Linked DNA regions of Ovis aries. The protein of the gene in region 5 purifies or fractionates together with the protein of the main gene of each other region. This does not show direct contact. Links are inferred from orthologs where the notes say so. Each region holds a gene or a part of one and is shown on either strand. Other genes may lie near its edges.

The links.
Region 1: the proteins of SMARCA2 (region 5) and DPF2 purify together in Homo sapiens (affinity purification with mass spectrometry; 6 studies listed by BioGRID and IntAct, counting the BioPlex papers as one, with this or other methods). This does not show direct contact. The link is inferred for Ovis aries from reciprocal best matches to the Homo sapiens genes SMARCA2 and DPF2.
Region 2: the proteins of SMARCA2 (region 5) and CEBPB purify together in Homo sapiens (affinity purification with western blotting; 5 studies listed by BioGRID and IntAct, with this or other methods). This does not show direct contact. The link is inferred for Ovis aries from reciprocal best matches to the Homo sapiens genes SMARCA2 and CEBPB.
Region 3: the proteins of SMARCA2 (region 5) and BCL7C purify together in Homo sapiens (affinity purification with mass spectrometry; 4 studies listed by BioGRID and IntAct, counting the BioPlex papers as one, with this or other methods). This does not show direct contact. The link is inferred for Ovis aries from reciprocal best matches to the Homo sapiens genes SMARCA2 and BCL7C.
Region 4: the proteins of SMARCA2 (region 5) and BCL7B purify together in Homo sapiens (affinity purification with mass spectrometry; 3 studies listed by BioGRID, with this or other methods). This does not show direct contact. The link is inferred for Ovis aries from reciprocal best matches to the Homo sapiens genes SMARCA2 and BCL7B.
Region 6: the proteins of SMARCA2 (region 5) and SS18 purify together in Homo sapiens (affinity purification with mass spectrometry; 6 studies listed by BioGRID and IntAct, counting the BioPlex papers as one, with this or other methods). This does not show direct contact. The link is inferred for Ovis aries from reciprocal best matches to the Homo sapiens genes SMARCA2 and SS18.

The regions. Positions count from the first base shown.
Region 1 is NC_056074.1:39,990,684-39,994,183, reverse strand, and holds part of DPF2 (zinc finger protein ubi-d4), read right to left. Parts: intron 3,370-3,500; coding exon 3,291-3,369; intron 2,782-3,290; coding exon 2,740-2,781; intron 1,724-2,739; coding exon 1,586-1,723; intron 1,459-1,585; coding exon 1,330-1,458; intron 1,190-1,329; coding exon 1,077-1,189; intron 593-1,076; coding exon 511-592; intron 1-510. UniProt on the Homo sapiens protein: Plays an active role in transcriptional regulation by binding modified histones H3 and H4. Is a negative regulator of myeloid differentiation of hematopoietic progenitor cells. Might also have a role in the development and maturation of lymphoid cells.
Region 2 is NC_056066.1:78,225,549-78,229,393, reverse strand, and holds CEBPB (CCAAT/enhancer-binding protein beta), read right to left. Parts: upstream 2,413-3,845; 5' UTR 2,194-2,412; coding exon 1,141-2,193; 3' UTR 501-1,140; downstream 1-500. UniProt on the Homo sapiens protein: Important transcription factor regulating the expression of genes involved in immune and inflammatory responses. Also plays a significant role in adipogenesis, as well as in the gluconeogenic pathway, liver regeneration, and hematopoiesis.
Region 3 is NC_056077.1:27,484,578-27,488,638, forward strand, and holds the start of BCL7C (B-cell CLL/lymphoma 7 protein family member C), read right to left. Parts: upstream 2,801-4,061; 5' UTR 2,641-2,800; coding exon 2,549-2,640; intron 2,006-2,548; coding exon 1,927-2,005; intron 1,569-1,926; coding exon 1,460-1,568; intron 1,365-1,459; coding exon 1,203-1,364; intron 1-1,202. UniProt on the Homo sapiens protein: May play an anti-apoptotic role.
Region 4 is NC_056077.1:34,113,398-34,117,402, forward strand, and holds the start of BCL7B (B-cell CLL/lymphoma 7 protein family member B), read left to right. Parts: upstream 1-1,205; 5' UTR 1,206-1,342; coding exon 1,343-1,434; intron 1,435-4,005. UniProt on the Homo sapiens protein: Positive regulator of apoptosis. Plays a role in the Wnt signaling pathway, negatively regulating the expression of Wnt signaling components CTNNB1 and HMGA1.
Region 5 is NC_056055.1:70,292,504-70,296,003, reverse strand, and holds part of SMARCA2 (probable global transcription activator SNF2L2), read right to left. Parts: intron 2,905-3,500; coding exon 2,778-2,904; intron 1-2,777. UniProt on the Homo sapiens protein: ATPase involved in transcriptional activation and repression of select genes by chromatin remodeling (alteration of DNA-nucleosome topology).
Region 6 is NC_056076.1:31,102,490-31,105,989, reverse strand, and holds part of SS18 (protein SSXT), read right to left. Parts: intron 3,479-3,500; coding exon 3,386-3,478; intron 2,670-3,385; coding exon 2,550-2,669; intron 1-2,549. UniProt on the Homo sapiens protein: Appears to function synergistically with RBM14 as a transcriptional coactivator. Isoform 1 and isoform 2 function in nuclear receptor coactivation. Isoform 1 and isoform 2 function in general transcriptional coactivation.

The DNA.
Region 1 (3,500 bases), on a different chromosome or scaffold from region 5:
AGAGAGGCAGACACTTTTTGGTGTCCCCAGTGGTTTCATCGAAGACCTTCCATAAATTTGAAGCATCTTACTAAGCACTGTTGGAGGGCCAGAGCAAACTGTTCAGGTCCCAGGTTCAGCTCCCTCTCCCAATTGGTGGAAATGAACACTCAAATCTGTCAGGCATGGAGTGGTGAAACCAAAGTCCCTCACTGGACAAACTATGACTGAGTTTTGTAGGCTGGTTGAACGATAACAGATCTCTCCTTCTGGTAATTATTTTCTGCTCAGCATTTGTTTTCTTTCAGGCTGTCCGTTTTCTGTGGCTGTGCATGTTATCTGGTGATAATGTACAAACGCTAAACCCTAGAAGTTGCAATGCTAGTAAAGCACTCTGAACTGAGTGAAGGCTAAGAGCCTACTTCCTAACCTGGAAGACCGTATCACTGATACAGAAATACACTCATTGTATAAGTGATTTTCAAGTCACTAATAAATACTTGTTCTGAGTAAGAGTACAGGGAAACCTACCTTCAGGAGGCTCAGACATGGACGGGGTTAGACAATACATGTGGTAGCCACGATCGCAGTCATCACAGAAGAGCAGCTGGTCCTAGAGGAGGTGAGATGGAAGAGGAAGGGGGAGGTGAACGACTCCCCTTGGCTGGGCCGCTGGGAATGGGTTAGGAGGGCTCTTCCAAGAGGGGCAGGGGCAGATGGCAGGGACCCTCTGGCCAGAAAACCACTGCTGTCCCTCTCCGTCTAGGAAGTCACTGTCATCCCACTGGGACCCCAACAGCCTCAGAAAAGACCTTTCTATCTAAATCAGTTATTCACTTACTCTAACAGTTAACCACACTACTGCATGGAACATTCTCTGCAGGGAACAGTATGAAGATGCCACTCATTTCTTTGCTAACTGTTTGTTCACACAAGCGTGTGAAGCCCATGAAAGCAGGGACGTTGTTTAGTGTCCTTCGTGCCTAAAACAGGGTCTGACACAAAGCAGATACTCAGTGAACACCTGCCAAACCAATCTCAGTGCCCGCTGGTGGGAAGGAGAGGGAAGCCGAGCAGGAGCGGGCGGGGGCACGCACGTCGTTCTCGGAGGTGCCGCAGATGTTGCAGCACTTGCACTCGATGCACTGCCAGCGGTAGGTCTTCACCGCTGCCATCATCACGGGGGTGAACTGGAGGCAGGACGGGTGCCCTGTGGAGGAGAGCGGGCAGGTCAGGGAGCTGAGGACTGCGGAGCAGCGAGGGGGCCCGGCGAGGGCGGCCACCGGGATGCTGGTGAGCCACGGGCCCTCAGGGTCTGGGTGCCGCCAGGGGCTGCACTGGCTCAGATACCTGAGCGGCCACAGTCAGAGCAGGACACCAGCTCCTCGGGCTGTCCTGTCTTCTTGTTGATCTTGGAGTCCCCCAGGCAGAAGTCGCAGTAGTTGTTGGGCAGGGCCAATCCATCAGGACCCTTCTTGGCTATAACAAGAAAGGGAAGAACTCAGATGATACCCAGGCGGGCCTCTGGGTCTCCTGACATCCCCACAAGAAGGGTTTTTCACAGCCAAGCCGACTCCTGCTTGCCTCGCCCCTGACACCAGCTTACATTTCTGCTCCTCGGACCTCTGGGAAACAGGGGTGGGTGGCTGTGAGTCTTCCTTGTCCTCGCCCTCCTCCTCAGCCAAGTGGGAGTGGGCATAGTGGTAACTCAGGCCTGGTCGATTCTTGTAACGTTTTCCACAAACTGAGTGGGGAGAAGATTGCAGAGAAAGGTGTTAGGATCTCAGGGTACCTCATCCCTGCCCCTCTAAGCTGTGGGCTCCACGTGAGGCAGAGGTAACCGCCCCCATCAGCTCTGCTCAGGGACAGACCTTTACTGAGAGCCGCCTCCCCGTGGCCAGGAACAGCAGGCCCGGGGGTCTCAAGCTCCCACGGGTCCTCCACTTACTAAAGCCCAGAGCACGGCCACCTCTGCTCCTCCACTCAAGCTGTCTGGGAGACTGAGCCGTTGCCTTCTGCCTGCCTTGGGAATAGTCTGGGGAGCTCCAGGTCAGGAAGGAAAGGGACCTTCCATAGTATTGCAATAATTCTGCAATAATGGCAGGCAGGAGGAAAGCTAAGACTCTAAACTTTTTTATCCTATCAGTAAATGTAGGCTCATGCTACTCCCTACATACAACACAGCCCACCTCTGCCCAAATAAAGAAGTAAGGGTGGATCTCTTGGGAAAAATCTATCAACTGAGTCTGCTGGGGTAGCTGTTCCCCAGAGAAACTCAAAGACATGCGCACAGCAGTGCTCTGTCCAACCAACAATCCCTCAACCACCAAGGAAAGCAGATCCCCACGAGGCACCCTGTACCTTTGAGCAGTGATACCAAGAAGAATAAGGGGTGGCAGGAAAGGAATGGGGAAGGGATGGGAAGGGTGGCGGGATGGTGGGGAACGTTAGCTGACCACCACATGTCTGTTTTGGGGAAGCGGAAGCAGAGGGATCTGGGACAATGGGTCCCTCAGAATGCTTCTAAAGCCACCCCATGCAGTGGGCCCAAGCAGCCCTAGAGCAACGTGGTGGGAGACGAGCAGGGAGAGGCAGCTTCTGGGACTGTGAGGAGTGGACTGCAACAGAAGGGCCAGGGCTCCTCTCTCCATGCCACTCCAGGGACCTTAACACTAGCGTCACAGATGAGAAAGGCAGGAACAAAGGGAGAAGGGAAAAAGGGATAGGAAAACCAAAAGTCTGAGAAGTTGAGAGAGCTACCTCTCTGGGGCGCTTTCGAGGTATGCTTTTGTTTGAAACTATCTGAAAGACAGAAAGAAAAGTCATGAGAAGAGGGCCTTGGTACACTTGAGACAGGTACAGCAGCAGCAGGAAAGCAGAGCAAACGAGAGAGAAACCCCAGCGGAGACGGTGGTCCCAGGGTGCAGGGACAGAAGTGGGGCGAGTCAGAGAAAAGGGGAAGAGGGAACAGACATCGGAAAAGTCAGCGCTGGACTCCTGGGGCCTGACTTGATTGGGGCCAGCAGGCCCAGATGTCATCTACTGAGAGGCCAACTTTGCCTGCTGTGTGTCCCTCATGGGCACCCCCACCCCAGAGGACAGCAGAAATCTCCCCCAGAGCATGCAAGGCTCACCCATCGTGCAGCAGAGGCCGGGGCCTCTCAGGGATCTCAGAGGGAACCAGTCAGCAGGCAGGACAAGAGTCCAAGCTTGTTTTACCACTTTGAGCAAGAATACAACCTTCCCTCCTTTCATATCCCGAGGAGCTGGGTCGAAGGCAAGGACTACCCACCCACTCGTGAGGCACTCACTGTCACAGGCATAGGGTTTGTCCCGATCCTCCAGGATGGAAGCGTCCAGCTTCTTACGGGCACTGCCCACACCTTTACTCTGCAAAGAAGAAGAGCCCTTAACTACGGTGTCTGGGCCTGAAGAGTTATTCTCTTGGTAGCGGCTGCTAATCTCATTCAGGAAGGATGATGGCAACAAGCAGCAGTAAGACAGTGGGACTCTGCAGGCTC
Region 2 (3,845 bases), on a different chromosome or scaffold from region 5:
CAGTAGGACCAAGACCTGTACCCCTTCTTTTTCAGAGTCACAGTCCCATGGGCTGGGTCCCCACGCGCTGTGCAGAGATCAGAACCCGCAAAGCCCCTCCAAACCCAAGCCCCGGACTCAGGACCAGCCAGAGGCCCTGCAGGCCCTCCCCAAGCAGGGCTCCTAGTCACTCCTCCCCAGCACTCAGCCGCACTGAGTCACCCTCAAAGCCTGACCCAGCACTCCTCTGCCCCTCCCCCGCGCCAGGCCTGATACCCCCATCTCCAAGCACAGGCCCTGGGGGTGGGGTTGAGGGGGGGAGTAGCAGAGGAGAATAAGCAGCTGCAACACCCCCACCCAACCACCTAAAATGCCAAAAATAACAGCAGCTCTCACTCACACACACACACACAACAACAACCCCCCACACACCAGAAAGGCAAATATAAATCCAAAATAAAGGGGAAGAAAAAAAAATCAAAGCCAACTACTGCCCCCAAAAGGCTTTTTAAACATTCTCAAAAAAAAAAAAAAGTTTATTAAAAGTGTTCTTAATGCTCGAAACGGAAAAGATTCCCAAATATACAGATGCCTCTTTTTTCATAGAAATAGATTTTTTTTTATAATACAAAAAAAAAAGGCCAAAAAAAAAAAAACACCAACAAAAACAAAAAACAACATCAACAGCAACAACCCCGTAGGAACATCTTTAAGCGATTACTCAGGGCCCGGCTGACAGTTACACGTGGGTTGCGTCAGTCCCGTGTACACACGCGTTCAGCCATGTTTAAACCGATTGCATCAACTTCGAAACCGGCCCGCCCGCCGGCGCCCAGAGAGGGGGGGTGGGCAGAATGAGAGGCAAGAGTTTATCATTCATCTGTACACATAGACATCTCTTCTTTAAATAACACCACGGGCGGGCGCCCCGTCTGCACGTGCGGCTGGTGTGGACAAAAATATAGATAGATATATATAATAAAATATTAAAATTACCGACGCGCTCCCCGCGCTGCCCAGTGCCCCAGTGCCAAAGTTCTGCCGGCGCCGCCAGGGGCGCGGGCGGGCGCGCGGGCGCTCCCCGGAGTCTCGGCGGCCGCGGCGCGCCCGGCAGCGCGGGGGCCGGCCGGCCGGCCGCGGGGGACGCGCACGGGGGCCGCGCTAGCAGTGGCCGGAGGAGGCGAGCAGGGGCTCGGGCAGCTGCTTGAACAAGTTCCGCAGGGTGCTGAGCTCGCGCGACAGCTGCTCCACCTTCTTCTGGAGCCGCTCGTTCTCGGCCGTGAGCTCCAGGACCTTGTGCTGCGTCTCCAGGTTGCGCATCTTGGCCTTGTCGCGGCTTTTGCGCACCGCGATGTTGTTGCGCTCCCGCCGGATCTTGTACTCGTCGCTGTGCTTGTCCACCGTCTTCTTGGCCTTGCTCTTGACCTGCGAGGGCGCCGGCGCCGCCCCCGCGTAGCAGGCGGCGGCGGCCGGGGGTGCCTTGGCGTCGGCGGGGCTCGGCGTGCCGGGCGGGCTGGACGACGAGGACGTGGACAGGCTCCCGCTGCTGCCGCTCGGCACCGCCTGGTAGCCGAGGTAGGCGCGCAGCGCGTACGGGAAGCCGGCCGCCATGCCCGCGGCGCCGCCGCCCGGAGCTCCGGCCTCCTCCTTCCGCTTGCAGTCCGCGGGCTCGAAGCCCGGCTCCGCCTTGAGCTCCGCCGGCGGCGGCGGCGGCGGCGGCGGCGGTGGCGGGTGCAGGGGTGCGAAGCAGCCCGGGTGCAGCGCGCCCTTGGCGGCCCCCAGGCGGCCCAGGCTCACGTAGCCGTACTCGGCCGCCTTCTTGCAGTTCTTGCCCCCGTAGTCGTCGGAGAAGAGGTCGGAGAGGAAGTCGTGGTGCTGCCCGGAGGAGGCGGGCGCGGGGGCGGGCGCGGGCGGAGCCGCCTCGAAGGTGTCCGTGGCCGTGGTGGGTGCCGGGGCCTGCGGCGCGCCCAGCGGCTCCAGGTAGGGGCTGAAGTCGATGGCGCGCTCGTGCTCTCCGATGCTACCCAGCTCGCCGGCGGGGGGGCGCGGCCCGGGTCTGGCCGCCGGGGGCGCCGCGGGGGCCGCCTTGCCGCCGTACGCAGCAGCCAAGCAGTCCGCCTCGTAGTAGAAGTTGGCCACTTCCATGGATTTAAAGGCGGGCGGCGGCGGCGGCAGGGGGAGACATGCTGGGTCCCAGGCCACCAGGCGTTGCATGAACGCGGGTGCCCGGGGAGGGGGCCTGGGGCTGCCCGCGCCGGCCGGCCCGCAGGTGGCGCGGCCTCCCGGCTCCGAACAGTCGCTGCTGTGTCGCCGCCGCTGCTGCTGCTGCTGCCGCCGCCGCTGCTCCGGGGTGGCCGCTATCAGTGCGGGGGGCTGCCGGCCGGACCCTCGGGTGGGTCCCCTTCCCGGTCCCGTGCGCGGCTCTGACTCGCTAAAGTTTCTCCCGAGCCCGTTTATTTATAAAGGCGGGCCATAGCAACGGCTGCGTCACGCCCGGCGGCGGCCCCTCCCTCCCCGGGCACGCAGAGGACACGCCGCGGCCGCCCGGGACCCCCGGCCGGGCGCCGGCGGGCCGGCCTGGAGACCCGGAGCGCGCCCCCGGGGGTCCCCCGGCCTGCGGGGCCGGGGTGGGGGGCGGCCTCGGGCCCCCGCCCTGTCCACTCCCACCCGGCGGCCCCGAGATGGCGAGCGCGGAGAGGCGCGAGCCCGCCCCCGGACCGCCCCCTCTGGGCCGGCCGGCGGACGAGAAGGGAGGGGGAACCCGGGGAGGGGGCCGGGCGGCCGTCTGCTCCCACCCTGAACGCGGCCGCCGCCCGCCCCCTGCTGGAGGAGGCGCTGGCCTTCGGGAGCCGCGGCCGCCGGACCTGGCTCTCCAGGGAGGGGGCGCGCCCCTCTCCCCCCAGCCAGGGATGCTGGAGACCCCAACCCCCTCCAGCTCGGACTCCCGGAGGGGTGAGCCGCCTCCACAGCCCTCCCCCGAGTGCGGCCTCGCCGCTAAACTGGCACCCCTCCCCAGATCTGGACAGGAGGGACTCACACCTGCGGTGACTCCCCTTCTGAAATAGGAAGACCTGGGGTTGGGGGCTTGGGGAGGTGCAAACAAGGGGGCGAGCGCCCCTCCCCCGGCCCCGCCCCCCGCACCTGCCTGCTCCCTCCCCCTCGGACCACACCTGGGTCTTCTCCAGCCCCACCCCGCCCTGACCTGGGGCCCCCTCCCCGGAGGGTGGAACGGGGGTGGGGTGCCCCCCGACCACACGCTGTGTGACCTTGGACTAGTCACTTGGCTTCTCCAAGTTTAAGTCTGCGAGGGTGTCCTTACTGTTATCTTTATTAGTTGTATTAACTGTCTCCAACGCAGACTCCCAAACGCTCACCGCTCTGGGACACACATCAGAAAGAAGGGCCTCTTCCCAGTACAAAGAGGCCCAGAGGCCCACAGCACACCCAAGATCACACAGCTTCATGTTCCCCACTGTTCTCAAAAGAAAAGCCCTTATCCAGGCACCCTCAGAGCTGTTCGTCATCCCCCTCCCAAAGCACCTGTATCTGAGGCTGGTGGGTGGGGGTCCAGGCAGGACCCAGGGGGCCATGCAGAAGGGAGGAAGGAGTTCTCCTCTTTTAGCAGGCCCCTGCTGTGTGGTGAGAGGGGTCTGGACCCAGAGCTTGCTTTTTCACCCTGCCAGGAGGATGCCCTCGCGGCCCTTGGTTCACAGAGAGGGAGACGAGATGGCCCACCAGGATGGGAACGCCGGCCCCAGGCCCTCCCTGCTGAGTGGGTGCCAGCCGCCCTGGCCCTCTCCTGCACCATTCCAAGGCCATTTCGGCAGCCCCTTGGGCCTACCCTTCTGCCACTCCCAGACCCCGGC
Region 3 (4,061 bases), on a different chromosome or scaffold from region 5:
TAAATGCGAATTATTGTCTTTATATTAGTAAAGGTACAAAAGTGTGTGGAATGATCTAGACATGGAACATAGGCCCAAATCAGGGTGTTCTTGGATGGGAACAATGAGGTCAGTAGGGGACAGTTCATGAAGGGCCCAGAGTGCCAGGTTGAGGAGTCAAAGGTCATAGGGCATCACTGAAGGCTTTGCAGCAGGAAAAGAACCTTGTCAAACTTGTGTTCAGTGGGGGTACAACTGGAGGAGGGAAGATCCCGGAGGCTGGAGCCAGGTGTGGGCGGGAGAGATGACAGAGCTGGGGAGGCAGGGGAAGGCAAACACACCCGGGAAGTGAATCTGACCAGACAGGGGACTGACTCTAGGGGAAGACACACGAGGAGGACTCATGCCCAAGATCCTAGCTCACTGGCTGTGTGTGCTTAGGTAATTTACTTAACCTCTATGAGTTTTGGTTTCTCATCTATAAATAGAGATCATAACCCTCATAGGGTGTAGTGAAGATTAAATGAGATAAAACATGGAAAGTGCTTAGCTCAGTAAATACGAGCAGTTATATTATCACTTATTATTAATCACTCTTATGAGTTTCACAATTGTTTTATCGTGCATGCATGTTCAGTCATGTCCAACCCTTTGGGATCCCATGGACTGCAGCCCACCGGTCTGTCCAGGAGATTATCCTGGCAAGGATACTGGAGCAGGTTGTCATTTCCTCTCCAGGGGATCTTCCCGACCCAGGAATCCAACCAAGGTCTCCTGCATTGGAGGCGGAGTCTTCACCAGCTGAGCTATCTGGCTGCTGTTTAGTCACCCAGTCATGTCTGACTCTTTTGAGACCCAATGGACTGAGCCACCAGGGAAGGCCCAGCAAATACTTATCGAGCACCTACTATGTGTTCCGTGGTGTTCTGAGGATAATACCAGTGAACAAGGTCAACGTGGGCCCAACAGTCAGGAAGCTGACATGAGGGGGAAAGAAAGCTATTTAACTAGTACGAAGCTAAATCTACATGAAAATCTCAGACAGTGATAAGCTGTCCACAGAAGCTAAGAAGCCAGAGAAGGAGAGAGACAGTCCCTAGAGGAAGGGCAGGGACTTTCCACAGAACTCAGGGAGGCAACTTAGGAGGAAGAGCTGGCAGAGGGGCAAGCTGGTGGCTTCCACTTTGGAGTGGAGAGGGCTCCTGCGAGGCGCCTGGTCCTACCTCTCTCCTGGCCCAGCTGTGGGGGCTGAGCATCCTCTGGGACCCCTTCCGGTGGTCCAGCAGGTGACACAGGGCGGCTGGGCTGGGGGGTGCCCCCAGGGCTGGGCTCCGTGCCCTTCTGCAGGGAGCCTTCCGAATGGAAACTCTGGTTACTGTTCTCATCTGTGGGGGAAAAAAGCCAAAAGGGTTGGGCCTGAGGCCCCAGTCCCTTCCCTTAATGCCCACAGCCCCCCCCACATCCCAGCATCCCTACCTACCATTGAGATCCAGCAGGATGAGAGGGCCGCCCCCTCGGGGACTGGCGCCTCTGCCCCTCCGCTCCCGGCCTCGGGATCTCTCTGCCCCTCCACCTGCCCTCCGGCGCTCCTGGGGGTTAGAGAGCTAAGGGTCAGAGGCAGCTTTCTGGTTAGCACTTGCCAAGCCTCCACTGTGCAAATAAAGAAACTGAGGCAGAGAGAAGCGGAAGGCCCCGCATGAGGTGATGGGTTGTGCACGCTGGGTTAGGTCTTGAACCCGGGAAGTGGGGGCGGCGGGGGACCGAGGTCTGGTGATGGGGGGGGAGGGGAAGAGGCGGAGTTGCTATTAATTGTTAACATCTGTCTGTGCTCCTGCATTTGAGCTCTGAGTGGAGACTGGAGGTGGAGGCCAGGGTGGGGAGGGGCTTGCCCGAGGTTACACAGAAGAAGGGCCTGGGACGGGGGTGGAGGGGGGGGGACTTGCTCACCTCCTCCTGGGGGTCCACCACTGGCACCCACTTGAAGATACGAAGGGAAGTGTCGCCCACAGTCACCCAGCGCTTCTCCCTGTGGGATAGTGGGGGGACTGGGTCAGAGAGGCCTGAGGGGAGGGCCACCCCGGGAGTGGGACACATCTGGGGATACCCCGAGATGTGGGGGTGATGCCCTGATGGAAGGGGCACTTTTGCTAAGAGGACATAGTTAGAGGGAGAAAACCTGCAGACCCGAGGGCACAGATTGGCAGGGGCTGGGGGGGAGTTGCTTCTAGAGAGAGTGTGACTTGGGGTCGCGGCTCTGCAGACCCCTGGGGTATACACATGGAGAGCTCGGACTCTGAGGCCGGCTGGGGACCTTAGCAATGAAGATCCCCAGCACACTCGCGGGAGGAGTGTCAAAGCTTCAGGGGGCGGGGCGTAAACGGGGGCTCCAGCTTCTGGAGGGCAGGACTGGGGAACACGCTTTGTAGACCCCAGGGTGTAGCCAGAAGGAAGACAGAGCCCCGCAGCTCGGGCGCGCAGCTGGGCGGCACAGCTGGCGAAGCGCGGGTAGACTTATCTGGGGGAGGAGTGGCCCATCGGGTCCCGTCCCTGGCCCCGGGGCAGCGCTCACCATCTCCGGACCTTCTCGATGGTCGCCATCACCTTCTTGATGTCATCCTTGGCCCGGCTCCGGGTCTCGGCCCGCACGGTCCGGCCGGCCATGCTGGCGGGGCTGGGGCCCAGGCCGAGCCCGCGGCTGGGCCGCCTCCCGTCCGGCGGGCTCAGGCTCGGCGCCAGGCCGGGGCGCCGCTCTCTCGGCCCGTCGTCCCTCCGGGAGTTGGTCGCGCCCTCCCTCGCTCCCCCAACGCCTCCGCGAGTCCCCGCCCCGCTTCCTGCCGCCGCGCCCCGCCCCGGCCCGTCCCCGGAGCGGCCGGGCGGCGCGGGCGGCCAGAGCCCAGGCCTGGAAGTCGGCCGGCCCCGCCCCAACCGGGCCCGCCCCCTCGGGGCACCCGGACGCGCAGCGCCCCCTGCCCGCCGCCGAGAGGCAGGTTGGGGGCAGCTGGGCGACTGGACGCGCGCGGCGGGGCTGCGGCCGTGCGTTCAAGCCACGTGGGCGCCAGGGGGCGAGAGAGGGTCAACGTCCCGTGTGAGACCGCTGCGCGTGGGGACGTCCCTGGGACGCTGTGGGTGTGGGTGTGTGTCTCTCTCGCCAGGCTATCAGGTTCTACACTGTTCTACTACCCCTTCATCCATTCATTCAACAGTCTGAGTGCCAATTACGTGCCTGACACTGCATATAACTGATTCTTCACCCACCAAAACGGCTAAAATGAAAACGACGAAACCTACCAAGTGGAGGCGAGGAAGTAGAGCAACTAGATCCCTCATATTTCTGGAGGAGTGTAAATTGGTAGAGATACTACTTCGAAAAGCTGGCGGTTATTCAGCGAAACTATGATCCAACAGTTCCACTCCTAGGTCGTTAACAGCCGACAGAAATGCGTGGGTATGAGCACCAAGGGGCCTGTCCTGGAATGTTCATATCTCTGTGATAGCCTCAGACTGGAAACAACCCATCGACAGGGGAGCGGAAAGTGAACTGTAGCCTGTTTACACCGTGGAGGACCCAGCAAGAAGGCTGAGGTCCTGCTACCCCCAACAACGGAGACAAGTCTCATGAAAGGAGTAGGATACAGAAGTACACATTGTATGATTTCATTTACATGAAGTTCAGAACCGACAACATCAATTAATGGTGTGAGAAATCAGGAGGGCGGTCACCCATGGGACTGGGAGGGGCTAAGAGGAGGGTTCTGGGAACGGGTCATGCTCTGTTTCTTAATCTGGTGCTGATTCCCAGGGCATGTTTACTCTTGGAAAATTCGTTGAGCTGTACGCTTATGATGGTATGCACTTTTCCCTACTTGAATGAAAAGTTTACTTAAAATGGAGTATGTCTTGGTTGATTTTGTTTGAAGCTGTGTTTATCAGCAGACATGCTAAATTTGTGTGGCTGTGTGTGTGTATTTCAAGGGTGTGGCTACTGTGTCTGTGTGTTTTCCAGTGACTATATTCAGAGGGATTAAGGTATAGGAAGGTGGTTATGCCAACATTTCTGGAGCCAAACTGCTGGGGTAAAATTC
Region 4 (4,005 bases), on a different chromosome or scaffold from region 5:
CAGGCGGGCAGACACTATTCCTGGGGTCCTCATCAGCAAGATGATACGTGCTTATCGAGCCGTGATATTAGTGGATGACAGAGGGGATACAGTCATAGATGCTATGTCAGGTTCAGGGTTAGTGAGACAGTTCTCTGGCTACACAGAAGGAAGTTTCTCTACAGGTGAAAGAAGTAGCCGCTACCAAGCAATGCAAACTGTCACCTGCTTCCTTTCTGTTTCTTGAAGCGACTGCTTCAGGGCCCTCTCTGCATACGGAAAGCATGAATAAATGCCTGGGGTGACGGGAAGACAGGGAGCTGCACTGAAGACTGACTATTCACCCAAACATCTACTGAGCATCTACAGCGTCTGTGGACACAGTGAGGACTTAGAGCAATTGCATCTACTGTATTCTCAAAATTCAACCTCAAGGTCATTTTTTCCCGATGCCTCTGGACACCCTTCATCTAGATTAAGGCTGCACCTTGTAAAGCACTTCCCTTTAACCTAGCATTTATAAAATGGCATTTGAAATGCTTGTTTTCTGGTCTGCATGGTCTGCTCAACTGGAAGCTCTTTGAAAGCAAAACCCAATTTTGTCCTCAGCACTTTGCCTGCCAACTCTCGCAGTGCAGGCATCATTTAATCAACGATTGCTGAATTAAACGAGACATTGATGTAGAGTGTCAAGTATGGACAAACTGGCACCTCAGGATCTCAGGGGGAAGTCTTGTTGGAATTCTAACTGAATGTTGGAAGAGTAAGTGGTCATCAAGAAGAGATAAGAGAATTCCAGGTGAGAACAGAGGTGTGCAAACGTTGGAAGGCATACTGAAGGTGTGAAATTCTCCACAGTTGGAGCACATTGGTGTATCTGGGGAGCGAGGGGCCAAACAGGAGAGACAGCTGTACAGGATAGTGTAGAACCTCAGTAACACTGGTGTCAAGTCCATAAAATATAGATTATGGTTGCAGCCTGGCCAGAGAATTAAGATATTGCTCTGGGAAAAAGCCAGAGACCCCACTGGCAGTGCCTCGCACCTCACCCTGCACACAACACGTGCTGCCAGCTGGCCCGCAGACCCTGGCTCGCTGGGGAGCCCAGGGGACTCTGAGATCCCCAGGGTGGGGCCTGTTGGGTGGGACGCCCGGGGTGGGGCACCTGGGGCGGAGCGCGCAGGCGCGCTGATGCCTCGAGCCCCAAGGGGAGGGCGGGTGCGCGCACTTCTCGCGCACGCGCGCACGGAGGGGGCGACGGCTGCGGTGACGCTGCTGCGCCGGGCGGGCGGCGGCGCGTGAGGCGCGCGATTCTCGGTGTCTTGGGAGCAGTGCCCCGGCCCCCGCCGTTCCCGCCGCCGCCATGTCGGGTCGGTCGGTCCGGGCCGAGACCCGCAGCCGGGCCAAGGATGACATCAAGAAGGTGATGGCGGCCATCGAGAAAGTGCGGAAATGGTGAGGGGCCAGGCCCAAGGGTGCTGGTGGGGGAGGCCGCCGGCCCGGGTCCAGAGCAGCGCTGAACTGGCGGGCAGGGTGGGAGCCGACCGGCAGGCGCTTGGGGGGAGGGGGGAGCGGAGAAGGCGGGAGGAGGGAGCCGCTCGCGTCGGCGTGAGGTCAGAGGCCGCGCCGGCCGCGACCAATCAGAGGGTTTCCCGGCCCGCGGGCCCGCCCACCTCCCCCTACCCCCGGCAGCGCGGCGCGGGCGGGGAGCGGCCGGCTTCCGGCGACGCGGAGTCTGGGGGGTTTGTTTAGCTGCGGGTCCGCGCGGGCGTAGTCTCCGCGCCCGCCTGCCTGAGGAACCTTTTGCGTTTTGAACTGTCCCGTATACTAACTAACAATCTCTGAGGGGTTCCCGTTGGCCAGACTGAGCACTCTGCGTATTAAGACGTCTCGGTTAGGTGAGAACTTTAAGGCAAGCCACCTGCCACGGGGCCAGGGAGTCAGAATAAAAATTGCTGTCTTTCTCCTAATAGGGCGCACGCGCGCGAGCTGGATAGGCATTTTCTCTTGGTGACCTGGGAGCTGTTAGTAGAAGAATCAGGATCTCCCCCTTGTTTGGAAACGGCTCCTGTCATGTTCATTGCAGGCGCAGGCTGACCGCCTATTTTGTACCGGGAGTTCCAGTGCGTTATCACCCTAAGTTTTTACAGCCAGGTGTTTTCACCAACTTCTTGAGTACTTTTCTCTAGCTGATTGCTACCGATAACTTTTACTTTACTAATAACTTTAAAGCCGGGTAGGTGTTAGCTCCCTCCAGGAAGCCTTCTCCAAGACTTCCTGCCCTTCACCCTCCACTCCCTTCAGAGTCATTGTTACTGTTTAGTCGCTAAGTAACGTCCTACTCTTTGCGACCCCATGTAGCCCACCAGGCTCCTCTGCCTATGGGTTTTTTCCAGGCAAGAATACTGGAGTGGGTTGCCATTTCCTTATCCAGGGTATCTTCCCAACCCAGGGATCGAACCCGCGTCTTGTGCTTTGGCAGGTGGGTTCTTTACCACTGAGCCACCTGGAAAACTGAGGGTCATCATTACCTTGGACTTTATTTGCATGTTTATTTGTCCATTTTGCTACAGGACCAAGTTCCTCATCTCTAAGGACTTAAGAATACTAGTTAAATAGTTAATGATTTTCCTTCTCCGAATCTAATGGTCTAGGTTTTGTGAAACCTAGGACTGGGCATCCCTTCCTCTTCTGTCCATCTCTCTCCTCATCTGCAGCCAAGGGCAGTTGAGCATCTTCTGTCACCTGGAACTCTGTACCCGGCTCCCTGTGATCTGTGCCTGCTTCAGGACTGGCTCAGTTCCCTGGTCCATTCATTACTTTGTATTTTTCTTCAAGTGTGAATTTTTTAGCACTCTTTTGCTTAGGAAATAATGCTTCATTGATCTCTTCTTGTCCTTAGGATAAAGACCAAAAATGATCCTTCATACCTCACTAGACTGGCTCAAACTGCCCTCTTTCGCAAGATGCTGGCCATCTTTCAGTTGGAGCCACACTACCTTTCCTTCCGCCTGGCAACTCTCCTCTACCCACTCCTTCCACTTGCCTAGTTATTGCCTGGCTGTGCTCTGCAGTTGCTTCCTCACCGAAACCTTTCAAGAGCCCCAGTCTAAATCGGGTCCTCTCCTAAATGGAACTTTCCACAGTGGCATTAGGTTGAACCATAAGACATCTATGTTTGCCTCTTTTATCTGCAGAAATGGCAGTTTGATGTGGTTGAATCTAATGATCCGGTTTCTAACTGAAATGAGTTGTGTGGTGTCTGTTTACAGTTGGAATTCAGGCTCGGGAGAGTCAGGACTGTGCATCTTGTTCTGTGTGCCCAGGACCTAGCAGAGGGTCGTAGATTAAATATTTGTTGAATAAATGAGTGGCTTGTCCAGGAATTAATTCCAGTTTCTAAGTCTTTAGTTCATTCTTCTTTCTGTTACATCACAGTCTCTATATTTTTGTGATGTCATTTGCTGAATCAAATCAATAACAGCAGTTACTTTTTTTGCTTTTTTGTGCTCACATTGGGACTCGAAACTTTCAGAAGTCACACTTCAGGCTCCCCAACTTTGGCCATCTGTAATCTGCACCCTTATTCAAGAATGTTACTTGCCTTTCCCTCCCCAGGTATGTGTGGGGAGGGGAGAACAGCTACTCGTTTTTTTTTAAGGCGTATCTCAAAAGTACCCTCTTCTGTAAAACGAAATCTTAAAGTCATCTTTTCATGGCGCTTGGCCTTCACCTCTTCCAAAAGCCAGTGTGAGGCTCAGTTCTGTTAGCTGAAAGCATCATGTCCTGCTCCTTGGTTATTGGAATTGTGTTTCAACCCAGAGTTTCCCTGGTGGCTCAGACGATAGAGTCTGCCTGCGATGCGGGAGACGCAGGTTTGATCCCTGGGTCGGGAAGATTCCCCTGGAGAAGGAAATGGCAACCCATTCCAGTATTCTTGCCTGGAGAATCCCATGGGTGGAGGAACCTGGTAGGCTACAGTCCATGGGGGTCACAAACAGTCGGACACAGCTGAGCGACTAAGGC
Region 5 (3,500 bases):
GGGGGTGGGAAAAATTGCTTCCTAGAATTTACAGGAGATGCTAATAGAATCATTCTATCACAGTATGACATTAAAAATGTGACAGTCTTTCAGTTAAAGAGAGAGAGATTTCTTTTTATTTTTTGACATGACTAGCATTCCATAAAACTTCAGGAAAAATCAGAAAAAAATCTAAACGATAAAAACAAAATAACATATTTGCATAATTATCTTTGGTTGAGAAAATGGTGAAGAAATTGCCTGAGAGTAAATATACCTTTGTCTGTAGGATGACAGTGTTGATGCAGAATCTGCTCTTTTTGAAATCTGGTTTAATTTGCTCATTTAAAAGTTGTCAAAAAATGGCAGTTTTCCTTCCCTCAGCTTCAAGGGCATTATTTCCCCAGTTTCATTTCTTTGCAGAGAGAGGCAATCAGCCTCTCTCCTTTTAATAAACTTGAGTTTTCAAATGCCAATTTTATATGAGTTTTCTCTTTACACACACACACACACACACACACACACACACACACAAAACATTAAATATTATATACTTTTCTTTGAAGGCTTTCTCTATCCAGTGGACTAAAAATAAACAATGTTATCATCAGGACCATAAGGTACACAATTTAGTATTTATTGAAGGAAATGGTTTTGCTTCTCAACCAATACCTTAAAATAACCTAATAGGTTGCTAGGTAGTTAAAGCAGGCAGTTTTCTGATCAATACTACACCTCTCTAGACCGGTATGTTTATAAATGGCTTCCTACAACGAGGTTTTTAAAGATATATGTTATTATGGAGTCTAAATTCTTTTTAGCTCATTATGTAGAATAAGACTGCATTATACCAATACTACCTTATTCAAAAGCATATTTTAAATAATGAATTCCCCAGCTTACAAGGCACTTTACTCTTCTAGAGAAAAATATTACATTCTAATTCCAATTCTATTTAATTTAATGCAGACTTCTGCATTTCAAGTAATTATAACTTATTGAAATTATATAAAAATTACGATCTATTTAAAAGTGTTTTTTGAATACATAAAGTTCACTTCTCTTCCTAATTGAAAAAAATTTACTAAATATCCAGTTATGTGCTAGACATTGTGCCAAGTGTTGGAAATTCCAAGAAATATCATCATTCTACAAGTCCAAGAAAGGAACCAAGCAATGAAAGAAATTTTAAGATACATAAAAGTAAAAAGCCTCACTTATGATTCATGCATTTCAAGTGTTTTCCTTTGGCGTTGTCCCAGGGCCCCACTATTAGAAGTACTGCAAAGCCAGGAGCAGACAGAGCCAGCATCTGGCTTTGAGAATCACTGAATATAACTCATCTACACCTCCTAGGTATTAAAAATGAGATCTACATTAGCTCTGTGAAGGCACCTGGCTCTTCAGAATTTAAATGATAAACCTGAAAGTATTGTTTTAATTCATTCTTACCCCTGAATGGCTCAAGTTTTTTCTTCTGTGCCTGAACAAGTCCCAATTATTCAGTCTGCTTTTCTAACATGGGCAAGATTTTACGAGTCATTTGTCACACTTACATCTGCCTACCATCAAATTTCAGATCAGAGTCTAGGATCTTCAAAAACCTGCTGGAATATTAGTGAAGATGTACTCCTATGCCTCCATGAGTTGCTGAAATGCCCCTATAGTGATTCTGAAAAGAGGTTACATTATATCTTTGGATATACTTTCCACTATCTTCAATATGCCCTCAACAATGAGAGGGAAAAGCACCCAGGAGAGGACAAAGCTGCCATATTTTGATTTGGCCACTACTGTGGGTGCAACTGTGGAGTGGAACCCTGTCCTCTATGAAGCTATACTGAAGACATACCCCCTAGTGCCTGTGACTGTGACCCTATTTGGAAACAGGATCTTCGCAGACGTAACTGAGTTAAGATGAGGTCGTACTGGATCAGGGTAGACTCTGATCCAGTGACTGGTGTCCTTATAGAAAGAACAAAGTCTGGACACACGGACATGCAGGTTAAATGTCACGTGGAGACCAGCACAGAGACTGGAATGTCAGATCTACCAGTCAAGGAATGTCAAAACAGTGCTGGCGACCACCACAAGCTAGGAAGGGGCGAAGAAGGATTCTTCCCTGTAGACTTCAGAGCAGCCACAGCCCTGCTAATATCCTGCTTTCGGACTTCTGGCCTCTAGAACTTTGGGAGAATACATTTCTATTGTTTTAAGCCAACTGGCTTGTGGCAATTTGTTATGGGAGCCCTAAGAGACTAAGATAGCCATTCCCCAGTGATGACAGGTTATTCCACTGCCAGAAAAAGTCACCTTATGAAGGAGGAGTGTACAATTCAAGGGACGTGGGTGGCTCATCCTGCTATCACCCATCCATGCTGTTGTTGGGAGGCAGACTTGGGTCCTCCTTTTGGACCTGTCACTTACTGGATATGCTAACTTATGGAAGCAAAGTAGATATTCTGAGCTTTAGCTTCTCCACCTACAAAATTGGAGTGATATAATGTATCTTACAACATCAGGGCAAAGATTCTGCGTAAAGTATGCAGTGCATTTTGCAGAGTGCTTGGACACATGGTGGCCAGTCAAACTACTAGGATTTTGTAAAGAAAACTGCCCATATCAAACATAAAGTTGTGCTGGTGAGGGGGTAAGGGGAGATTTCTACAGGGAAAAGAAACCTGCCAGACCCCATCCTTAGACAAGTTCTGTTCTTTGCAAGTCATAATTAAAATAACAATAGGAAAGATGAAAGACTATGATATGGAGCCCAAAGCAGGTATGTAGCAAACACAAACCTTGGCTGTGCTGATCCATCGGACTCTGAGGAGGGCCCATTCCTGGGTGAGGTGGTCGCATAGCAGTGCCTTTCATGGATCCACAATGGATGTCTTCAACCCCCTTGTCGTGCATACCATCCATGGGCTGAAACATTTATAGGACATCAGTTAGGCACCTCTGTAAGGCACAATATTTCTATCCGGTGCTTTAAGAGCCCATCCTATAAAGTCTTCAAAATGTGGCCCAGTCATCTATTATCCATATGATAGCCATATATTTTCACATTTATATTACATATATTACTATATACTACATAGATTTCATAGGTGGGGGGAAAAAAATAAATAAAAAAGACTACACCAATAGGATCAGCAAAGCTACCTGTTAAGTCAAAAGTTAAGGATTTAAACAGTTGAAAGGTTTTTGGTTATGTCAAAACCTGCAAATAAAAATGAAGCCCTGTTGACAAGGCAGACAAATATAAGCTATTCTTCTACACCCTTTTAAGTAAGTCCTGAAACCTGCTGTATGTTGAAGTGAGTCCAAAGTCAGAATGGAAGAAGAAAGACTCTTTGAAATGTCTGTGATGATCTATTTTTTGGGTAATTTTTTTTCATCAGAGGGGAAGGAACCTATGGAAAGTTTAAAAGTTGAAACCAGAAAGTTCCATGGCAGTTGGGAAAAGAAAAACAGACAGGGTACAGCAGTGAATGGGGGTAAGCACCAAAAGGGAAAGAGGC
Region 6 (3,500 bases), on a different chromosome or scaffold from region 5:
GTTGATTTTTTAGGATTGGCTGGTTTGATTTTGCAGTCCAAGGGACTCTCAAGAGTCATCTCCAGCACCACAGTTCAAAAGCATCGATTTTTCGGTGCTCAGCCTTCTTTATGGTCCAACTCTCACATCTGTACACAACTACTGGAAAAATGATATTTTCAACTATACGGACCTTTGTCGGCAAAGTGGTATCTCTGCTTTTTTAATACACTGTCCAGGTCTGTCATAGCTTTCCTTCTAAGGAGCAAGTATATTTTAATTTCACGGTTGCAGTCACCGTTCACAGTGATTTTGGAGCCCAAGAAAATAAAATCCATCACTGCTACTTTTCCCCTTCTATTTGCCATGAAGTGATGGGACCAGATGCCATGATCTTAGTTTTTTTTTTAATGTTGAGTTTCAAGTCAACTTTTCATTCTCCTCTTTCATCCTCATTAAGAAGCTTTTTAGTTCTTCACTTTCTGCCATTAGAGTGGTATCATCAGTGTATCTGAGGTCGTTGATATTTCTCCTGGCAATCTTGATTCCAGCTTGTGATTCATCTAGTCCTACATTTTGCATATAAGTTAAATAAGCAGAGTGATAATATACAGCCTTCATGTACTCTTTTCCCAATTCTGAACAGGTCATTCTATGTCCGGTTCTAACTGTTGCTTCTTGACCCACATATACAGTTTTCTCAGGAGACAGCTAAGGTGATCTGGCATTCTCATCTCTTTTAAGAATTTTCCACAGTGTGTTACAATCCACAGAAGGCTTCAGCATAGTCAATGAAGCAGAAGTAGATGATTTTCTGGGATTTTCTTGCTTTCTCCATGATCGAACAAAGGGTGGCAATTTGATCTCTGCTTCCTCTGCCTCTTTGAAAACCATCTTGTGCATCTGGAAGTTCTCAGTTCACATACTGCTGAAGCTTAGCTTGAAGGATTTTGCACATATCCTTGCTAGAATGTGAAATGAGCACAATTATATGATAGTTTGGACATTCTTTGGCACTGGAATGAAAATTGATCTTTTCTAGTCCTGTGGCTACTGCTGAGTTTTTCCAAGTTGCTGACATATTGAGTGCAGCATTTTAACAGCATCATCTTTTAAGATTTTAAATAGCTCAGCTGGAATTTCATCACCTCCACTAGCTTTGTTCATAGTAATGCTTTATCAGGCTCACCTGACTTCACACTCCAGGATGGCTCTAGGTGAGCGACACCATCGTAGTTATCTGGGTAACTAAGACCTTTTTGTTTAATTCTTCTGTGTGTTCTTGCTACCTCTCCTTAGTCTCTTCTGCTTCTGTTAGGTCCTTACCACTTCTGTCCTCTATCATGTGCATCCCTGCATAAATGTCCCGTTAGCGCCAATTTTCTCAAGGAGAACTCTAGTCTTTCCCCTTCAATTATTTTCCTTTATCTCTCTGCTAGTTCATTTAAGGGTTTCTAATCTCTCTTTGCTATTCTCTGGAACTCTGCATTCAGTTGAGTATATGTTTCCCTTTCTGCCTTGCCTTTCACTTCTCTTCCTTCCTCAGCTGTTTGTAAAGCCTCTTCAGATAACTACTTTGCCTTTTTGCATTTCTTTTTCTTGGGGATGGTTTTGGTCACGGCTTCTTGTACAACATTACAAACCTCCATCCATAGCTCTTCAGATACTCTGTCTACCAGATCTAATCCCTTGAATTTATTTGTCACCTCCACTGTATAATCATAAGGGATTTGATTGAGGTCATACCTGAATGGCCTGGTGGTTTCCCCTACTTTCTTCAATTTAAGCCTGAATTTTGCAATAGGAAGCTAGCTCATGATCTGAGCCACAGTCATCTAGACATATTGATGTAAACAAAGAGACCCTGTTAGCAAAAGATGATATCTAATTAAGCAGCTATATCTCCTATCATAGGAACCATATTTTCCTGTATCTCAAGTAGTCATAGATAATTCAGACTGAGATATCAGGTCTGTATCATTCCCCACTCCCTATCTAACAGATAGCCAACTAGTAAATACTACAGTGAGAATACAATAAGAAAAGATGGCTATACTTCCTCCAAACTCTGTAAGATACATACCTGTAATAAACATACCCCTATGGAAGTGTACACAACTATTTTAATAGGGCATGACAAAAACATTTTCTCTAGGCATTCCAAATGGACCTCATTTGTACACTAAAACATCAATGTTACTTTTCATGGTAACAGTCATTAGTTTTGGAAATGAATTTGCCAAGCAGATTATGTAGATACTGTTAGTAATCACCCAACTCATCAGTTTTCTAAGCACACGCAAAGCTACTGGCTGGTCATGAATGTCAAACAGGTTTAGGAATTCATAAATTAATGAATTCATTTCAAATGACTTTCTATACCTTACCTGTGGTCAATGAGCCATCTCCAGTTTATGCTTTTTCTTAAACAGACTACTAGTTTTAAGAACTTTTCAAAGAGACACTGCACGAGTAGACTGAGCTAAAGCTGTGAATTTTCAAATGAAAATTAAATATCCCCTTCCACATTTTGCAGGAGGAACTAAGTTAAAACTGCCAGAAGCGATTACCGTAGCCCTGCTGCTGTCCTGGGTAGCCTTGCTGCCCTGGGTACTGCTGCTGGGGTGGGTAGCCCTGCTGGGGAGGTGGTCCTTGGTAGGCATCTTGCTGTTGGCCATACTGCGTATTTCCTACATGATAATTGGAGAAGAGGACAAAAAGAAAATACTGAGGAGTTTGCTTAATTAACTTTATTCCTCTAAGATGCATAGCCAACAACACAAGAACAAAATGAAATGCTATATTGATTTTTAAAAGTTAACAAAACAAAGAAAAAACTCAAACCAAACAGAAGGATTTCGGCCAAACAAACTGCAGTTAAAGCCAATTTTGCAAGGTTGAACTGCAGCATTTTCAGCGTCTCTGCCATACGAGCATTACATTTACTGGAACATCACAGTCATAAGATCATGACTATGCTAAATAAAATAAAAAAGACAAAAATTAAAGACAGCTACAAGAGCACACACTAGCTACACAAGATCAGCAAGCTGTTTCCTAGAGGCACTAAACTTATATGTAAAATTATACATATGTGAACACACAACAAGAAAAAAAAATTGGATTGATGGATTTATGTTCAAATAGAAAATTTCCACTGAGGAAAAAAATTATTTTAAAATGTTTTAGTCTTTTTATGGTTGTTAGAAATGGCAAGTCATGGTTATACATTTTAAATATTTGTAAGAAAATTATTCTGATTGTTCTAGGCTCCCTGGAACTTTCAAGACAGCCAGCAACTAGTATTCTACAAGAGCTTTGCGTGGGTAGAAGTTGTCTTATGCAAGAATTTTTGTTCCTGTAGAAGGGGATATATATGTGTATGTGTGTGAAGGTATATAGATACCTCCTTCGTAGTAATGTTGTGAGGAATCCTCATAAGGCCTATCGTAGCCTTGTTCAGGATACGACGGTTGCTGATAACCGTAATCATTATGACCTACATCAATTCGACAAGAGAC